Linked DNA regions of Lytechinus pictus. Each later gene encodes a partner of the first gene's protein in a complex. Links are inferred from orthologs where the notes say so. Each region holds a gene or a part of one and is shown on either strand. Other genes may lie near its edges.

Region 1 (10,563 bases):
GTTATTTTTGAATGACCCACTGATAATCCCCACATCATTACCTTTCCATTGATATACAGTGCGTCCCACCAAAAACGAAACCAAGATTTATCGATGATTTATCATAACTTAATCACAAATACAATAGACAAATGACCTACCATTTTAAAGCTTAGAATCTTCTCTTTCATCTGAAATTACTTAGATGATTTCTCACTCACGCATGAGTGAGCAAAAACAATTTGAAAAGGGGATACCAAAAAGTCACTTGGCGGGCCGTATCTGGGTTTTAAAAAGAAAACCACATTTTTGGAAAGTTCAATATCTGCTCTTTAATTTGATACCTCAATTACAGAAAATGGTCAAGAAATAACAAAGTTCTGGTTATTTGAAATAAGGCTTGAATTTCAATAATTTCATAAAATGAAGAGGTTTTACCGGCTAGCGTTCAAACTCACTCAACACTCCGTTTTGTTGACGATCAGCCATGCATTTAGTCTTTTGTTACCGTGCGATAGCTTCTGTTGGAAACTGGTGAAAACACGATTATTTGATGAAATTGTGGAAATACAAGCATTGTTTCGAGGGATCATAACTTCTTTACTTCGTGACCATTTTCTGTGATTAAGGTATCAAAGAAAACAGCATATATTGAACTTTTTAGTCATGAGATTTTCTTTTTGAAATTCAGATACCCCCCGCCAAATGAGTTTTTGGCATCCTTTCTTCGAATTGTTTTTGCTCACTCATGCGTGAATGAGGAATAATCTAAGTAATACCAGATGAAAGAGGAGATTCTAAGCTTTACATTGGTAGGTAATTTATCTATTTTATTTATGATTAAGTTATGATAAATCATCGCTAAATCTCGGTTTCGTTTTTTTGGGGACGCACTGTATAATAAGACCACATTCATAATCAATATATTTCTCCTTTAAGGCAGTAAAAGTAGCAGAACTGTTATCAGAGATGCCTTTTTTGCTTCAATGGGGGCTCCAAAATGGTGACTTTTCAACAAATAGCAAAATACCGCAAATTTAGTGGGGTAACTTCTACAGCCGCCTGAAGGGGAAAGGCTTCGATTTGCCAACATTTATTTATAGGTAGCTGATAGAGCAAACTAGCAAAGCCTACTCTTTCCTCTCCAAGTCATTACAAGAAAATAAAATTGGCTGTACTAGTATTATAGTAGAAATGCGCTTTTGACTTAATGGGTGATCCAAAAGGTCAAAATGGTGAAATATCCAATGAATAGGCAATATACATTATACATGTATAGGGGGGAAGTTTATTTAGATAGCCCCTGAGAGGTCTAGGGTTCAATTACTTTGGGCGAAGTTCGTGCAGGCTCCACTCCACTTCACTACCGCTACACTACGCTCCACCTACCCGAACTTCGGGACGGTGAACCAATTCGGATATACCGAGTCACAAAGGTGGGATGACAATCATGTTTATTGTAAAAATTAAAGAAAAAAAATATAACGACAAAGATGAATAACTTGATATCTTATTCTACACCCGTATTTCACTCCGTGTCCATCCTCTGGTTATCCTCAAAGTTGGTGATTTTGGGCCAATATCAGTTTCCTCACACGTATTACTCACGGCCGATTTAAAAACATCGCATACGATCGGTTGCGCCGATCGCATGCAATGTTTTGAAATCGGCCGTGACAAAAGCGCTTTTGCCTTGTTTTTTCAGAAAAGTAGTCAGTAAGCAATTTTTTTTAACATGACACATCCGTTTTTGTCTTGCCTGCATAGCAGAGCGAGACTATAGGCGCCGCTTTTCCGACGGCGGCGGCGGCGTCAACATCAAATCTTAACCTAATGTTAAGTTTTTGAAATGACATCATAACTTAGAAAGTATATGGACCTAGTTCATGAAACTTAGACATAAGGTTAATCAAGTATTACTGAACATCCTGCTTGAGTTTCAGGTCACATGACTAAGGTCAAAGGTCATTTAGGGTCAATGAACCTAGACCATGTTGGGAGAATTATTTTCAAAATCTTAACCGAAGGTTAAGTTTTTGAAATGACATCATAACATAGAAAGTATATGGACCTAGTTCATGAAACTTGGGCATAAGGTTAATCAAGTATTAGTGAACATCCTGCTTGAGTTTCAGGTCACATGACCAAGGTCAAAGGTCATTTAGGGTCAATGAACTTTGGTCAAGTTGGGTTTTTTTGTTGAATTCAGGCATGAAAATTCTCCGCGTTTCCGCGGATTTCCGCGTTTTTTGTTTGCTGAATTTCCATTTTTTTACTCCTAAAATCCGCGTTTTAATTTCCGATTTTTAGCGCTTAAATGGTTTAGCATATCTTACGTGTTATATGACGTTTGGCCTTTACAACGATTGCGCAGGAATCTCTTATCTAGCACATCTCAACTCTACACGTGTATTTCGCGGTGTGTTTTACGTTTCTGTGCATGCAGTGCAGCGGTGGTGTGCTTGCAATCGCTGGGGGCAACCCGGCGCGCCGGGCATGCAGCGACCGGGCGCGCATATCATATCGGACCGGTGGAAGACCGATAAAGAAGCTGAATGTGCTCGCAGAGATTTGTGACGTGACATGGAATTTTCATGACGCATTTATAATTCGCGAATATTAATTTGCTGGAAATCCAAGAATTTTGTTTTTTCTTGTTGTTGTAATAACGAATCAAGAAAAATGGCATTTTGTGGGGGACTAACTTGTGACCGCACAGATGTTGTGGATAGACTTTCAAAAGATGTTCATGAAATTGACCGTGGACTTGCTAATATGTGGCGATGGAGTTGGTTAGAGGTGGAGGTGAGAGGACCCGACAATTCTTCATACAACCTGCTTGAAGTGATCAGGAAACTTGATAAACCAGGGAAGTGCTATTGCTATTTTTTAGTATTTTTTAGTTTTTTTTTATTGAATTTTGGACAAAAAATCCATATAAATACTTCATTACAATCATTCAACTCAAACAGGTTTTTGGAGTTGTAAAATTGATAAAACCCAGGAGCTTCCGGGGGCGTTGCCCCCTGGACCCCACCCGTTAGCAGCGAGCGGCAAGCCGCTCGCCCGGTGGGCTTCGCCCACCGTCTTGTCAACGACATTTCCTAAACCCTTTCAGCTTTTTTTTTCATACCCAATTTTCATGCCTGTGAATTACTATCATAACTTTGAAAATTTATGGATCTAGTTCATGAAACTGGGACATAAGGTTAATCAAGTATTAGTGAACATCCTGCCTGAGTTTCAGGTCACATGGCCAAGGTCATTTAGGGTCAATGAACTTTGGCCAAGTTGGGGGTATTTGTTGAATTACCTTCATAACTTTGAAAATTTATGGATCTAGTTCATGAAACTTGGACATTAGGTTAATCAAGTACCACTGAATATCCTGTGCAAGTTTCAGGTCACATGACCATGGTCAATGGTCATTTAAGGTCAATGAACTTTAGCCGTGTTGGGAGTCTTTGTTAAATTACCATCCTAACTCTGAAGGTTTATGGATCTAGTTCATAAAACTTGGACATAAGAGTAATCGAGTATCACTGAACATCTTGTACGAGTTTCAGGTCACATGACCATGGTCAAAGGTCATTTAAGGTCAATGAACTTTTGCCGTGTTGGGGGTATTTGTTGAATTACCATCCTAACTCTGAAGTTTATGGATCTATTTCATAAAACTTGGGATATAAGAGTAATTAAGTATCACTAAACATCCCCTGTGAGTTTCAGGTCACAAAACCAAGGTCAAAGGTCAGTTAAGGTCAATAACACCATATTCTGTGCCTTAGTGACACTCTTGTTGCTCCTGATATTGTAAAATTTATAGTAATATATTTAGCATATATTTCTAGCTTCAAAATGAGATCTTGCTCAATAAATTTGGTCAAGATGCTGTGATGTACATGTAGCAACAATTCTTCCATGGCACCATTTTGAAAATTGTTCATCCACCACCCTTTTTGCATACCCAACTTATGAAATGCGACCATAAGTGCTGTTGTTGGGAACAAAAATCCATGTCGACATGTCGCTTGAAAATTAATCCTGACATCGACAATGTCGACATGAAAAAGGGACCGTAATTTAGCCTAGGCTCCCTAACATAACATGAAAAAAATCATTCGATCGTGGAACATAACATTTACACTCTCAATCAAATGTATTAACCTTGACACGAGTGATATCCCATGCGCACACTAACTCAAGATCGATAAAATACAGGCTCAGTTCGGGAAAACATATTTTCACTAAGCTAGAGTGAATTCACTTCCAAAATCACTGATGTAATCCACATTTTTTCTGAAGAATCAAGTTTTTGTACCACGATCCGGTCTCGAAAGCATTGCGCAACACTCGGTGCCAATTTGAGAATCACCAATTACAACAGTGATCATTGCATAATATACGCTAGTACACATGTGCTGCAAATGCAAGCACCTCAAATTGACAATAAAAAATAATGAAAATTGACCGATAATTTCAGTATCACTTCCGCGGCGATCCGTGCAACGATCTCCAAACAAAGAAAGGGAAGTTTTCTTTGACTTCGTGATATGAAGTAAGCTCTCAATTACGGCGGTCACAACTTTGACAAAAACGCTGCTGCTCACGTTTATGTGAAAAGTAATGGATTGAGGAGCAACGTATTATCAAGCACGGTGAATAGCGATGGGTACGGTGAATGCTACGCTACTCTCGCTATAGCGCTACATATAGATCTAGAGAGATAGTCAGGATCGAGGGCGGCTTGATCGGGCAGGCCGGCCCCGCACTGACTTATTTCTGCTGCTACGCAGCTCGCAGGTATTCTTTTTTCATTTAATGCGCTGCTAAGCTGAATAAACCTTTTAATCGCGCCAATTACTGTGGATAAATGCTTCTAACTTTTCAGCTAAGCTTTACACTCGTGACTTAAGGCTAGACCTCTTTTTATTTTATGTTTACATGTCGATGTGGGTGCGTGCATGTCGACATGTCAGAATTTTGAAATTCCTTTGTATGGCGACATCAATGTCGATATGAGGCCTATCGACAACAGCACTAGCGACCATATAATTCATTATATTTTATGATGGCTAACTTAGGAATTTTTTAATTCCAAAATAGTTTATCTTCTCATTTTGCATTGCTGTATGTAGTGTACAAAGAATATAAACACAGGGAACTATCCACAAGCTGAATTAAGGTTATGAAATGTTTTCACAGAGGTAGAGTGGTCCGAATTTGGTCTTGGAGGCTTTTGGAGTTTAACATGCAAACTTGTTTGTTCGGCATCTGCAATAATTGGGCCATATCGTGAATGCTGACTCCGGAGTCATAAAGTATGTGGTACCTGAATTTCACTACACACTGAGACCCGTTGATTTTCAATAGATTTAGTAGCCTAAGAGATTTTTCGATTTCTGCGCCGAAACCTCTATATTGTTTTATGCAAAACACTTAACTAGTTCTCGCGCTGTTACAAGACTCGCACATGGGACAATTTAAACGTTGACATGACGTTGACAATAAATTCTCACGTCATCACCCCCCCCCAAATCATAATTTGCTATTCAATAATTTAGCCGTAATTGGTAAATGATGAAATGTCATTTTCTGAATAAAAGTTAGTGGATAGGCCTACATGTATACAGTTTCTGGAAGTGAAATTTCCAATAATAACTCTCAATAGTTTGAATATTAATAAGCAAATTCATCTTGAAATTTGTTTCTTCATTAATGTGCAGATAGCTTAGTGTGTCGGTATGTACATGTATGATAAATTCTAAAGAAAGAGTCGGGGAATACCCCTAAGTAACCCCCAAATTGACAAGAATTCAATGACAAACTGCACATTCATCACGATCGTCTAGGCGGCCATGGCATCAGGAGTAAGTTTAACACTGTAGGTGACTGATGTAATTCCTTGATGATGTGACAGTCAACGTAGAAATGCACTGTAGATTTATCTCTGCATGGTCATGGAAATGGTACCGGTATTCTATGCTAATGGTGATATTAGGATTGTGAGGAAAGTTTTTGACTTTATGACTCGGGCTTTGAGAGTATTTTCTTGTGATTACCATACTTTATGGTGAATAAATGTGCTAACTGGCTATGATCATATGATAGGTGGGCAAATATTGGGTTTGGTCTAAAGTACATGTAGGCGTGTTACACTCCAAGCAATGGCAAATATTCTTGAGCTTTAAATTTGAATTTTTTTACTACTATATGTATACAGGGAATGCCACTGAATCCCAAGCCATTTTTAAATGGACTCACTGGAAAGCCTGTGATGGTTCGTCTCAAATGGGGAATGGAGTACAAGGGCTACTTAGTATCTGTTGATGGTTACATGAATGTTCAGGTAAGTTAAATATTAATGTTAACTTTAAAATAGACAGTCATAGCCATAGACATATCTATTGATCAATTATTAACATGAAGCCAGGCTAGACTCATTCAACTTGACATGAGACAGGAAAAAATATTATTACATACAGTACTTATTTAATGTCTTGTTTATGCTTCTTAAAGCCCAAAGTTCTTCCCCAATTTTATACAATTATTTATCATTTTAATGCATTTGAATAACTTTTTTAGAAAAAAATTTGAGCAGATATGTATACTCAAACAATGTACACAAAAAGTTCTGTATTTCAATTTGCCAATTATTTAGTCAAGAAGAATAGTAAAAAAAATTAATATATTTCATGTCAAATCCAATGCAATCTCCTTGTAAAGTGTAATATTCTGCTTGTATTCTATTCTCCTCTGCGTTTTTTCTCGTCATTCTCAATGAACGACTCTCATGAAAATAGTGCTGCTAAGTCAGGCAGCATGTTCGAGTTTGGTTCTGCAATTTTTTTCAGAACTTTGGTTCGAAACTATAAAATAATGGATCGCCATTTGCGAACCCTCAGCCAGTTTGTCACAACGAAGGTCTGTCATATATTTATAATGAATTTTGTTTCTATAAAGAATGGTTATGAAAATTGTTGCTTATAGTTATAGACTACTGTAAAAGTGGAAAATTTTGCGGTGTGGAAATTTTTACACTTGATACATGACAAACTTCACAATAAAATACTGAAGAGCATGACAATTTTTATTTTTTATTTTTTTTTTTTACTTTAGTTCAATTTTTCTTCCAACTGTAAATATATTCATAAACATGATAATACGACTATCATTATTGCTAAGAAACATGGCATTCTTTTATTGGGAGGGGGGAGGGGGGGTTATGCTTCCAACATAAAATGATTTACTTCACAAAAATTGAAAAAAAAAACAAGCGTAGCAACATTATTGTTTCAATTTCATATGGTCTACGGTATGTAAACTTGGATAAACAAAATAAAGACAGGCATGTGAGTGGGGTAGAAAAAAGAAAAGAAAATATTTTGTTGCAACAATCGAGGGAGCAGAGCGATCGTGCGGCGGATGGGTGTGAGAGGGGGGTGTCTCCTCTCCCACAGTCTGGCCTGACGCTTTTTTAATTTTGTATGTCAAATGGTGCAATTTGAAGCATACTTTTGATGACAATTTCTAGGTATTTTTGGAGTTGGCAAACTGTACCAAAAAAAAAAAATTGATACAGTTCTACTGACTGTAGTTATTCCTAGGCCTGGTTGACATACATGTATGTCTAGATATATAAAGTCTGAAAGTCAATATAAAAAAATTGACAAAAGTAATTCAGTAACCAACTCCTGATCAGTCCTCTTCCAAAATTAGTTCCAAATTTGTTTGATATTATGAACAGTCTCACAGTTTAATTAATTAAAAAAGCGATCTTCGTCCATATAGCGGGCCTCAGCAAACAACTCTGCGGCTAGTGTCCTGTACAATTCCAGCTCTAGATCTAGTCATGTTTGCTTCTTTCCGTGACAAAGTCATTGATTAGCGAATCACTCTACTTTAAAAAATAAGTTCAAATTTGGTGTGCCACTATGAACAAATCAGTACTTCATGACTGTAAAAATTATTCGTATCCTGAGCTGAGAAAGTAAAATTTTAATCCGATATAAATCTGAAATGATGAGATCATTCATACATATAGGCGAGCACTTGACAAGAGAAATTGAAGCAGCAGGACTTCGGCAAAATGAGCGGGCCGTCAGCAAACGCTAGCAGGCTGGGGTGCTGATACTACTACGGAAATAGAAAATATTGACAATGGAAAAATATTTCAAATTTAGGATATGAATTTAACCAATATAAAAGCAGCTGAGAATAGGTTGATTCGACTTCCTGTTTCAACTTAACGCGATTGGGAACATGCTTTGAATTTTGTTATCTCTTCTGTTCTTTAAAATTCTATTTCTACCCTTATTCCTTCATCTCTTATTGTCTCGCCTGCATAGCAGAGTGAGACTAGGTGCCGCTTTTCCAACAGGGACGGCGGTGTCGTCAACATTGAAATCTTAACCAAGGTTAAGTTTTTGAAATGTCATAACTTATGAAAATATATGGAACAAACTTTGATAATGTTGGGGGTATGTTAGGAATTGTCATCATAACTTTAAAAAGTTAATAGATCTAGTTCATGGAAACTTGGAACATGAGAGTAACCATGTATCCCTGAATATCTTGTGTGTGTTTCAGGTCACATCAGAGTGCAGGATAGTGCGAGTTCTAGAAATTGGAATTATCAAAATTACATGTATCTAGAATTTAGAAGAAATATAGCATTCGGGGCTGTACAACTGTCACGGCTTTGAGGCCAGTGAAAAGCACAAGAAAGCCTATTTTTTTAAAGCCTGGTAACAGTTTGTGTTATTTCAATACTAACAGTGACTTTAAGCTGATAATTGCAAATCTTGTTCCTTTCTGGTTCTTTTTTAAGCTCCAAATAATACATAAAGTCACATATTTATCTTTTGACCTTGACATTGATCTAAAAATAGCTGTAAATGCCATAAAAATTGGCAAAACCTGTGAGATTTACAACACATTTCCAAATTGATGTTTTCACAGAATGAATGCCTGATCATGTTGATAATTTGCAGTATCGGTAGTCCATAATGAGTACTTGGATGATTTAGTATTAATTAATTTGTCTTACTTTTTTCAAGGTCATTGCCAATAAGACAAACTATTTGTGATGCATAGGAGGAGGGAATTTATGTCTTTATTAAATACAAAACGATTTGGACCGATTAAAATCACAATCGATTATGGCAATCCGTAATTCAACCACTTTTGTACAAGTTTAGCTTCAAATGTCCTCTCATTTTATGAAGAAAATAATATATTCATGTTTATAAATATCTGAAATTGATAACAATTCAATCAAAGACGAGACCGAAGCTTTCAAAATGGATTTAAAAAAACATTTTGTGTGAAATTCTTATTGTGCACAATCACTAATAAAAAAAAAAGTTTTTATTTTATACTTAAATCTATGGAGTCCCTTCTGGTGTTATTCAACGCCCAAGAATGTTCTGTAATCTGATTGGTCCAAAACGGATCACATGATATTCAGCGAATCGCACTATTGCATCCAAAATGCACTATCCTGCACTCTGACGTCAAAGTGCAGGATAGTGCGAGTTCTGGAATTATCAAGAATTTTCTAGAAATTAGATCAAATATAGCATTCGGGGCAACTCAGTAATATGGGTGAGGGGGGGGGGGTCATATAAAACAAACAATACACACATTCTTGTGCAGAGAGGACCTAAATAATGAACTCTGTGCTCGACTCGCCAAAAGGATACACCGCACTCGGTCTTGTGGACCTCTGTGTGGTATATCCATGGACTCTTCCGTATACATTCGTAATTCCGAAGGTTCGGATATTCCGAAGGATCGTTAATCCGAAAGCGAAATGAGGTTCGATGTTCCGAAGGTTCGACAATCCGAAAACGAAATGAGGTTCGTTGTTCATTTCGTTTTCGGACTAACGAACCTTTGGAATTACGAGCTTTATTTTGTTTTCGGACTAACGAACCTTCGGAATTACGACTCTCATTTCCTTTTCGGATTAACGAACCTTCAAAATTACGCCACAAATGTTCGGATTAACGAACCCTTTTTCGTTTTCGGATTAACGAACATCGAGGTATAGGCAATTTACGTGTTTCGGAATTACGAACCTTCAGAATTACGAAGTCAAAGTGTAACCGACTCTTCTAGCACAGTGTTCATTATTTGGTTGCCCCTGAAGGAACGCATAGTCTTTAAGACCCTTCTTTTGATTTTTTTTTTAATAGTCCATGTAACTTCCCCCAGTTAGTCTTTGATGCATAATTACCAACCTTCAAGAACCTTACGATCCTCATTATCTCTTAATCTCTTCCAAATTCCAGTTGCTAAGAAATCATGCGGGGAACGGGCCTTTGTTCATGCAGGGCCTAACCTGTGGAATTTTCCCACAGAGTTTGAAAACTTAGACTTCAGTGACCACTTTCAAGGGCAACGTGAAAACATGTACCTGTTTCAGAGTGCTTTTTGATAGACATTGACTTATTATTCAGACATGTATTTTATGCAAGTAGCTTTTGTTGTTGTTCTGCTCTGAAGTGCCTTGAGCATCTAATCAAGATGGAAAGTGCGCTATACAAATCCCATGTATTATTACTATTAATTAAAGAAATA
Region 2 (11,133 bases), on another chromosome or scaffold:
AGATCATTTGTCTACTCATCAGTTATGAAGCAGCCTTCCTAAAAAAAAACCTATTTGAAAAAACCTATTTTGCTGCACTCAACCCAGGTGAGGTGAATGGGTACCGGTAGGAAGAAATTCCTTGAATGCTTGAGCGCCTAGGCAGCTCAGCTAAAGCCGGGGTAATAATAATAGCAGGGCCTGCTGCTAGAACAGTTTTCGAAACTGAAGTGGCTACCCTGGGTAAATATACCTATATTATTATTATTATTATAACCTATTTGAACAAGAAAATAGAATCTTAATATCTATACTATTTACCTCTTGAGATCTTTGAAGACACCAGGTTCCATAATGTAATCTGTACTAGCAAAGGCTTCCAGACATTCTTTCTGGATGTCTTCATTCTCTTTGTATCTATCAGGGTCCTCATCTTCTTCTTCCTCTTCATCCTCATCCACTGGGGCTTCCTGCACAAGAGGAATAATAATACACATTCATTGATTAAACCCATACAGGTCTACAGCTTCTGTCTGATTTTTATTTACTCTGTCTATAGAGTCAGTTTCCAATACAACTATTCATTATATAACTTGGCTCTTAAGTAAATTGAATTCTTTAAATCATTTTTTCTAACTTAGAAATAGAGATTGTTGGAGGACAATTTTCTTGCAATTTTACTTTCCACAAAAATATGCCAAAATTCAAGTTTTTTAGCGTTCTTGTCTGGTGAATACAAGTTTAAATGAAAATTAAATTGCAACTGTAGCCATGGGGAAATGAATTGGTTACAAAAGTAATATTTTAATGAATTCGTGGAATATTTTCCCTAACTCTTAGAATATTTCTGGTATTTTCTGAGCCATCCAATATAATATAAATATTTATGCTGTTCGACCTGCAACCGATCGCATGCGATGTTTTGAAATCGGCCGTGAATAATACGTGTGAGGAATTAGATACTGGCCCAAAATCACCAATTTTGAGGATAACCAGAGGATGGACACGGAGTGAAATACGGGTGTAGAGTAAGAAATTAAGCTATTTTTCTTTCTCGTTATATTTTTTTTCTATAATTTTCACAATAAATAACTTTTTATCCCACCTTTGCCTCTAGTGGTATCCGAAAGAGTTCACGGTCCCGAAGTTCGGGTAGGTGGAGTGTAGTGTAGCGGTAGTGAAGTGGAGCCTGCACGAACTTCGCCCGAGGTAAATGGCCATATGTTTATGTATTAAGTTTGGATAAAACAGGGAAGTGAAGTTGCGCGACAGCCGAAATCACTGTTTTTTCTTCTTTTAAGTTTATTTTTCCCCGTTTTGGTGCATTTGAGGCCAAACGGAATAATAATCTTTATTTTGGTACAGTTCTTTTTACATAACATATTTTTATGAAATAAAGTCTTAAAGACAAAATTTGATGAGCCCTGTGACTGTCGGGGGGATTTTGCATTAACCCCCCTACCTCGGGCAAAGTTCGTGCAGGCTCCACTCCACTACCGCTACACTACGCTCCACCTACCCGAACTTCGGGACCGTGAACTCTTTCGGATACCACTAGAGGCAAAGGTGGGATAAAAAAAAAAAAAAAAAAAAAAAAAAAAAGCTTAATTTCTTACTATTCACCCTTATTTCACTGTGTCCATCCTCCAGTTATCCTCAAAATTGGTGATTTTGGGCCAGTATCAAATTCCTCACACATATTATTCACGGCCTATTTCAAAACATTGTATGCGCGTATCGAGTGGACCTTGATCCTAAGTAATAGCAACACTGATGTGTGTTGCTGCCCTCTACGTTCGTTGCATGCAATGTTTTGAAATGGGCCTTGATTCGATCTATTCCTCATGAAAAATTACCCTTTTTCACCGTCTACTTTTGTTTTGATAAGGATTTTTGTTGTCATCCACACACAAAACAAATGGGCTTCTGACCTTAGTGAGACAAAATTTTGGGAGGAAAAAATTACGCTTTTGTTGGTGTTGTATTTGTTCTTTTGCAAAGCAAGTCTCCAATAGTGGAGATTGTCTCCCATATTGGACTTGGAGAGTCTCCCATATTGGCTGTGCGCCTCTACTGTTCATTGGGGAGTAAGCCTACGAGGCTACGTTAGTAGATGACTTTTGCTCCAGGCTACCCATAACCTTGTTCATAAAAAATCATAGAATGAGTGCTAACCCCCTATGTAGCCAGGCGGCTTCTTGAGAGTAAAAATCATTTACTAACGAAGGCTTACTCTAAACGAAGCCAGGGAGTCCTTCCTATTCATCTGCGTGTACCGCAAAAAACCCTGAAACTTTCGCCCCCGAGATGTACTTTCCTTCTAGTTCTAAAAGATCTAGCTCTAAATCATTCTATGCTCTCGTTGTTATTTTTAAACAAGAATTCATCCAAAAAAATGAAAAAATATTGTGAAAAGACGGAAGAGACTTGCCCGATGTTTACGCCGCCATCTTGTTTCTTATTGTACTTCCCCAACGTTACGGACGCGAGCGTCAAGTCTCTTCCGTCTTTTCACAATATTTTTTCATTTTTTGGATAAATTCTTGTTTAAAAATAACAACAAGAGCGTAGAAATGTCGGAAATGAAGTTTTATCCCATGTACATGATTTAGAGCTAAATCTTTTAGAAGGAAAGTAGAAATCTCGGGGGCGAAAGTTTCAGGGTTTTTTGCGGTACACGCAGATGAATAGGAAGGACTCCCTGGCTTCGTTTAGAGTAAGCCTACGACAATGATTTTTACTCTCAAGAAGCCGCCTGGCTACCCTTATGGCACTCCTAGTACCAATGAGGTCCAACATTACATGTATGGACCTCATAGGCGACATCAGTAGTATTTTTGGTTAGAAATCTCTGAGAACAGGATATTTATATGTTATATCACAAGTACAAGCTATATTCCTTTCTCTTATTTAAATTATAATTTTATAGTGTAAATGCATCGTTAGCAACAAAAAAAAATGAAAGAAATGAAGGGGAACTTACATTTTCACGGCTTTTTCCTGATTTTCTGGGCAGCTGCTCTTCTCTTCTGACTCGCGATCGAAGCTGATATGAAGATCACGTGATTCGCGTTCTCGTCAGCTGATCGGTTGGTTATTCTTTTCGTCAGACGTTAATAATATATATTTTATAATGCTAGCATTCATCGCTAATTTAGGTGAAAGAGATTGAAGTTAAACAGCGCCAGGTCGGAATCATAATTATTTTGGAAGAGTGTATTTATAATTATACACTCGATCTCATACCTGACGTAGACGGCGCTATTCAACAAATGCACAATCTTCAATATAAAAAATAAAACAGAAAGAACGCCTTGAACACAGGCCAAAATGCCTAACGATTTCTCCGCGGCATTAACAACTATCGTAAAGGGCGCTCCATTTATCAATAAAGATGGATGCTAAGCTGTCTATGGCGACAAAATTTGCCGCAAATATTTACGAAGAATTGTGAGAAATGGTCTGAAAATGCAACAAAAGAACCGGTGAGTACCGATTAAACATTATCAATTTATTTAATAGAACATATTTAATGACTACAATGTAACAATTTCTAGATAATATTGCTTAGTTCTAAGCTAGGGCGGCCCAAATGCGCGTGAGTGGAGTCCCAGTTTATTAGCACGGGTAAGTATTGGGGTGTCGCCTAGAGTGCCCTTATGGTGGCTGCACGATAGCAACACTCCTAGTAGACCAAAAGCTTCAGTCTCTGTATTTTGGTTGTTCCGCTGAACTACGTTGGCTCCACTCACCATACATAGACTGAAGGGGGTGGGGCCCCGTACCTACAGCCAACGTATAGTGAACTAGCGTTTTATAGATCGCGATTTAAAACTGTTTTTTAAGCAAAATTGAAAGTTTCATGGTTTCCATTATCAGGGAAGTATAAATAAATTAAGTAATTGCATACCTTGGGCCGGAGTTATTGAAAAAAATCCTCTGGATGATTGAGAAATCTGTCATCTAAGACATTTTCACCTGACCTGACGGTTTTTCTTGCAAGTTGCCATCTTGAATGACGTCATTATCGTTATTAACTTAATGTCTCGAATCGATATATCGCGATTATAACTAGTACTAGTACTAGTATAACTAGTATCGTTTATCTTCGGTTTCGATCGCATATGGAGCAGATCGTATAATATCGAAAGCAATATCGATATCACATTCGTGATTGTTGACGTTCGTTTGTAAATATTTTATAGTTTGGCTGCCATTTTGACCATTTTTATCGTGTTCAACCCAATTAAACATCGGTAAAGTATATTTTTCATGCCTTTTTCATCTATATCGTTTAAAGTATTTAAATGTTAGAATATCATCAATTAAAAGTTTGTTGTTTATACATCCTTAGATTGTAAATTCGATGTGTAAAATTACATCAAACTTTGGACTGTGAATTGACAAAAGGGAGGGAATGAGAACACATGCGAGCCCACACGTACACCCTACCGTCGGTAAATGGGGATTACAGTAAAATGTCAGAAATTGTTGAATAAATCCCCAGAAACGACGGTTATTCCTGTCTACACTCCTAGTACCAATGAGGTCCAAACATTAACATGTATGGACCTCATAGGCGACAATGCGTTAAAAACAGGTTAGAACTTCTAAACGTACTGTTTCCTGCACCCAAGTATATTACTCCCAAAATATGAGTTTTGTCCTCGTTTGTTTATCATTTATTAAAAGATTGCCCATTAAATATATTCCTATTCCTAATTTGAATTTAATAAAATAAAGGGAAACTTACATTTGAGTCATTTTTCGATCTTTTTTTGGCAGTCAGTCCGGTCAATGTCGAGTGCGATCAAAGCGGTATGAAGCTGATTTTCAGATCACGTGATACATGTGGTCATCACCTGATCAATCGACTATCCTTTTTTAAAGACCGCAACAATTATAAATTTTATTATAAAATATATATAGAATGAATAATTGCATGATATTATATATATTTCTACAATAAAAAATATTTTGTGATATGAATTTAATATTTGACGTAAAAATCGCTATTTAACAAAATATTTATTAAAAATAAAAAATCAAACAAAATAAAAACGCCTTGGACACAGTGCAAAAAACCTAACAATTTGGCCGCGTTCTTAACAACTATCGTAAGGGGCGCTCTATTTATAAATAAAGTTGCATATGTAGTTGTCTACCGCGACAGGAACAGCCGCAGAATTGAAGCCAGAAGCGTGGGAAATTGCCAGAAAATTCAAGAAAAGAACCGGTGAGTACCGATTTAACAGTACTAATTTATTAAGTAACATTTATTGAATCATTACAAGATTTATTTTTTAGTAAAACAAAGCTTAGTTCTAAGCTAGGGCGGCCCAAATGCGCGTGAGTGGAGTCCCAGTTTATTAGCACGGGTAAGTATTGGGGTGTCGCCTAGAGTGGATAGCAAGCCGTTTGTGTATAATAAGGAGAAATTAAAAAAAATAATTTTAAAAGTGTCAGAAAACTCCTCGAAACAGAGGGCTGCCAGCTGTCTAAGTTCAGCACTGCCACTGGTAATCCGACCTTACCTCGGGCGAAGTTCATGCAGGCTCCGCTCCACTACGCTCGTAGCGTAGTGGTCAGTGGTAGTGAAGTGGAGCCTGCACGAACTTCGCCCGAGGACGAGGTATCGTAACCCTCAGCACTGGCACTGCTACCGCGTTTACCGAACAGCGGCATAGCCATAGGCATAGCCATAGCCAGGCAGAACGGGCGCAGGCACGGGCAAAGTCCGCGGGCCCGGCGCGCCCGCCGGCTGGTATGGAGACGGAGTGCAGTTGGCGCCCAACCCAGACAAATGAGACAATGCTAAAAAGAATTACTAAGCATACGTACAGCCTGGTCATAGTTCCAGTCAACATCTCCATATTCGTCTTCATCCATTTTCAATTCAAGAGATGAAGTTAGAACTGATAAAATAGTCTCCTATAGAGTCCTAATGCAAGACATCGACAACGTAGAAAAGTATGGCCATGGGCGCTGCCATCTTTGTTGTGCTTAAGGACCAATCAAATCGTCTGTAAATTCCCACTTGACAAAGATGGGGTCTGAGACGGACTCTGTAATTGGTTTAATTTCCGTATTGCGCCGCGCGTGCTGTTTGGCGTCATATATTTGCATATATGCTCGCGCTGCTCGAGCCAGCTAGCTGAGCGTGTCGTTTCGCGAATGTTTGTGACGGTCGACGAAAGCAGTCAATATCCTTCTACATCGGGGCTATAACAATCTTTCAAAATGGTAACTATATATTTATATGAATAATATACATATATGCGATGAAATGTATTACGATTTATTTTAATTTATCTAATGAAGCTCACAATTTGTGACTTATTGCGGGGATGTGTGTATTCGAAAACGGTGTCCCACATGTACATATCTGTGTATGTTTCGGTTTTCTCTTTGAAACTAAAAATGGCATTGATTCGGCTTTCATAGAGACTTGTGAAGTCGTTGAAAACAAATTAGCTGTTGTTGTTTTTCAACTTAATATGGCTCTAAATCGTAGAGCTCTGCATTCCTTACCTTACTTGGCCAATTCAAGCCAGATACGGAACGCAGAGCTCCACGTTAACTTTGTTAATGTTACTGTTAGAAAGAATTTTGGTATCTTCTGATCTTGATTCTTGTAACTTGTATTAATTCATTGTATTGTATTTTAATCCAGTTTTGGCTTTTGAGTTGTGGAGCTCAGCCTCGGGAGCTTGAAAAAAAAACTGTTGGACTAAATTTCAAAATTGTATGTGTTGTAAAGAATTATAAAACAATCTGAAACTGAACTTTGCACTTGATCTAATTCTTCACAAATTTTGTGATGTTACGGCGCCAATGCAATTTCACACTGGCCGACTTCGAGTCAGAAATTGCTTGCAAAATTGTCATGGCAAGTAAATTCAGTCACATTTTGAGGTCAATATGCCCCTGCGTTTCTGAATATCGCGATCGGGAATGGTTGTAACTTGTAGAGTAAAGTGCCCAAATATCCACACTTTTTATTTTTTTTAATTTATATTCAATTCAGTTCATTTTATTCAGTCATTTGATCCAAAACAAAAATACAATCATTGAATCAAATATAATTCATGTAGGATCTATGTTTTCTGTGGTATGAATGTTGAATTGTAGTAATGTCATAAAAAACAATTGGAAGAATATGGTAAACAGAATTTATTTACTTAGGATCTACTTACATGTAGTCTTGAGGACTCCATGATCATGATGATGATGTTTTTTTTAATATTTTGACATATATTTCTTCATCGTGGAGTCTTGAATCCCTGTCCATATATGCAAGGCTCGACATTAGCGGTGGCCTGGGGCCACCAGAAATTCACCTCGGGCAACCATTATTGATAAAATGTTAAGTTTTGGTGGCCCGAATCGGACAACCAATAATTTTCAAAGAAGCGCAACTTTTCTCCCGATTTTGCACGCATTTATCAACTTTCTACAGTTCAAATTGCAACCCAATTCGTCATGCGCCCTTTTTGTTGATCTACACACAAATACACACACACAAAGTTTGCATATTAGGCCTACAGCTATAGCATACAGTAGCTATTATCCAGCCAGCCACGCCGGCTGGCGTGAGCTTTGCATGAAGCCACTGCATACAGCTGTGCTCTAGATGGAGCTCCGATAAAAAATGTTGCTGCTAAGAAATCTTCCACAGAACTTTGAAAATCTGAGTCAAAGTCACATTTTACACCAATGAAATGACATTCTACAGTCTATATTACGAAAATTTGGTGTACCCTGATTATTTGCAAGCATTAAGAAGAGGAATTATGACCTCTCTTTTGACTACAAAAGACCGATTTCCAAATGAATTAAAACACATAAAAACACATAGGCAAGTACATCACAGTCCCACATGTGCATTTGTATGTATGTTGATACTTGGTTTCTTTCGAAGCTGTGTCTTTTCTAGCCAAAAATAAACAGACAGTTTCTTTCTTTCTTGTTTATAAATGACTTCTTAAACCACTCTTGAGAAAGTAAATACTTTGGGAAGGCATTTCATTGATATGAAATGTGAATTTTTCCAACATTTTGGCAAATATAGGGAAGGACTTTTCTCACACTTTTTTTCCAGATATAACTTTTGCTGTTTTCTTCTTATTTTTTTTTCTATCATTTTTTTTACAGTGGTTAAACCATTTATACCCCTTCCCATTGAATATGCCTGATTAAAAAATATGTTTCTACTGAAAAAAAAATAAACTAAAGGATATAAAAATAGAAATGTGCCATTCCCAGAAGGTAAGTGAACATTATTTGCTTGGCTTTTAATTATATTCCAGTCAGAATAGACTGTTGCCACAGCTGTTAAAAAATATTCGTAATGGCTTCTTAATTTTCCCCTTTTCCCCATGTTTAAATTAAGTTTGTTTTATTCATTTTTCTTTCACTTTTTTTTTTTCTCTCTAAATTTTTTCTTTTCTTTTTTTCCCTGTTCTTTGTTTTTTCTTTCTTCATTTTCTTTCTTTTGTTTTATTTCACTTATTTCTTTTATTATTTTTGTTTTCTTTTTGTAATATACTTTTTGAAAATTATTTTCATTTGTTTCCCCCTTTTATGCATTGTTCTAATTTTGCAGCATATATTTATGTGATTTTCTCCTGCTATAATATGCTTCAAAAGAGAAAACAGAAATAAACTGGATTTGGGGCCTGCATAATCTAGGTTTTAGGATTCAAAGAGGAAGAAATGAAAAACAATTGTTTTGTACATCTATCTGAGTTTGCTATGCACTATTTATTTACTTTACCAATATGAGTGTGTGTCTATACGGAGATTTAAAAAAAAAGTCCACACAACCTGCGAACAATAAAATTCATTTATTCTCTTTCAATCATTTCATTTTTACAATGATAGAAACAATTTATATTTTACCACAAGCCAATTAGCAAAGTAAAATAACAGCAAACAAGGTTTACATACAAGATGATAAAGTGAAAGTAACTAAGCGTAGTGGCTGCAGAATTAATATTTCAGAAGTTTGTTTTATTAATTTTTAATGTGTTTCTTTATATTTTTCGGGCCACCAAACTTTAATATCGGGCCACTAACAAAAATTATTTGATGATTTTGGTGGCCCGAACGGGCCACCACAAAAAAAAGTTAATGTGGAGCCTTGATATATGTATAAGAGACACATGTACACAAAGATGGATTTTCCTAGGAAATCCATAGTTAGACTAGAGGGTGAAATCGGTTTGTAGGGTCGAATTTTATTTATCTATGAACCTTCAGGCGCCTAATGCGTATAAAGGGATAAAAATTATTTCACTATAAATGGTAAAAATGAGACGTTTCTTACCAGACCCGATCTCCCGTAGATCCCTCGATCCGTTTGTCAACAAAGCAAAGACAATAGACCTGACCCTTGAACCGCTTTGTGATGACATACATCCAACTAGCGATGCCGTTTTGAAGAACAATTTATAGATAAAAATTATTATTTCACAAATACTAAAATTTAATACGTAATTATAAATAATTAGTAGTAAAAATTCATTTTTTCCCCTTTTATTTGGGTGCTATTGCGACCCCATTCTACCCCGTTTTGGAGAGTATCCTCTGCCTAATAATACACGGGCGAGTCCTGGGTTAGGATTGTCCCAGTTTACAATTACAGGGACTGTCTCAGTTTGAAAGATTTCTCCACACAAGAAATCTAGGAAAGTTTATGTAAGTGCAGACACCGATCAAGTGCGCTAGTCAAGTAAACATATTCAGGTTTCATAACAAGATTATTGGAAGACGACAAGTCGTATAAAGTAAACATTGAACTGGGGGGCATTGAGGTCACTGAATCTATTTTTAGCACTCCCTGTAATTGCCATCTATGTTCCCATAAACAAGGACAATCTCAATTTATCAAGACATGAGGACAGAGGATATCTTTTTCTTTTATTTTTTTGGGGGGACAATCCCAATTTATGGACAAGTTCCTCTACTGATCAGAAGCTAGTTTTTTGCCGAATATCGGACAAGGAAGGAGTGGTGTGCGCCACGCAGCTTGGCACCACGATCAATTTCGGCGATTTCAATTGCGCTCTAAAACCCCTAATAGTTGCTGAATTTCAGGTTTGCAAATGCCGATTTTGATTATTTCTATCAATTTTTATATAGAAATCAATAAATAATTATTATTCACTTACCAAACTGACCGCTTTTGGCTCTAAAAATCGGATATCTTTGCTTAGATTCATGGGCCTCTGTTCTGAAAAGCAAGTGCGCTTTTACAGCACACATTTCCAATTCAACCGGCCAAGATGTCCGATATTTGGGAGAGTGCCATATTTGGAATGGTGTCAAATTTCTTGCCGTGGGGAAACCCCACAGTGGCCATTGCAGATTTTTTTGTGATAGATTAAACATACTGTCATTTTAGCCAAAAATAACTTCCCCCTTATGAGATTATTTTCGGTCATCGATCTTTTGGAGTCCAAAATTAGCGAGGGTCATATGGAAGTCAAAATCATGGATTTTACCCCTGGATTTACCCTTGGAATGGACTGATTGCAATAAAATTGACACTGCATGGTTGCAAATTTGCTGATGAAATGTCTCTCAGAGGTGAAGTGGAGAAATATTTTTATCTTGAAAAAGGTTGATTTTATGGAAAAATAACCCCACCAATAAAAAGAGGTATATAAATTATTTTATGAATTAAGCATCACTAGTGCTCTTTTCATTATTCATTAAAAATTTGAAATTGAATTAAATTGTATGTTTAAAAAAATATGTAGGCCTATGTAAAAGAATTATGTGAAAGAATTTTTTTTTATTATGGAAGTACATGTTCGTTTTGTTTTCTGGGATAAAAAGGGAAAAAAATCTTTATCTTTTTGTTCCAGGTGGTGGGCAGGACATCAAAGATGGTGCAGTACATCAACTACAGGATGAGAGTTAACCTGCAGGATGGACGCACATTCATTGGTAAGAAGATAGTGATGGCCCAAAGTATGACGAAACAACAAATCTGCTATTGTGCCTTAATATTTATTCACTATTTGGTGAATATGAATTATCATTTGTCAGGGAAAAGGAATCACACCTTTCATCCCTGTGTTATAGGGTTCTTTGATGGGGGTGGGGCTTTGATAAAGAAGTGGCCAGATGGAGGTGAAGGGGCAACTA

What was found. Proteins that work in one complex are often made in the same cells at the same time.
Region 2: small nuclear ribonucleoprotein F-like (region 1) and small nuclear ribonucleoprotein-associated protein B'-like share a complex: the UniProt entries of both Homo sapiens proteins name them as parts of the U7 snRNP complex. The link is inferred for Lytechinus pictus from reciprocal best matches to the Homo sapiens genes SNRPF and SNRPB.

Annotation. Positions count from the first base shown.
Region 1 is NC_087247.1:76,325,985-76,336,547, forward strand, and holds the start of small nuclear ribonucleoprotein F-like, read left to right. Parts: upstream 1-6,165; 5' UTR 6,166-6,205; coding exon 6,206-6,328; intron 6,329-10,563. UniProt on the Homo sapiens protein: Plays a role in pre-mRNA splicing as a core component of the spliceosomal U1, U2, U4 and U5 small nuclear ribonucleoproteins (snRNPs), the building blocks of the spliceosome.
Region 2 is NC_087246.1:62,256,004-62,267,136, forward strand, and holds the start of small nuclear ribonucleoprotein-associated protein B'-like, read left to right. Parts: upstream 1-6,115; 5' UTR 6,116-6,219; coding exon 6,220-6,222; intron 6,223-10,850; coding exon 10,851-10,932; intron 10,933-11,133. Other genes in the region: negative elongation factor D-like, read right to left, coding at 301-449, 5,821-5,868. UniProt on the Homo sapiens protein: Plays a role in pre-mRNA splicing as a core component of the spliceosomal U1, U2, U4 and U5 small nuclear ribonucleoproteins (snRNPs), the building blocks of the spliceosome.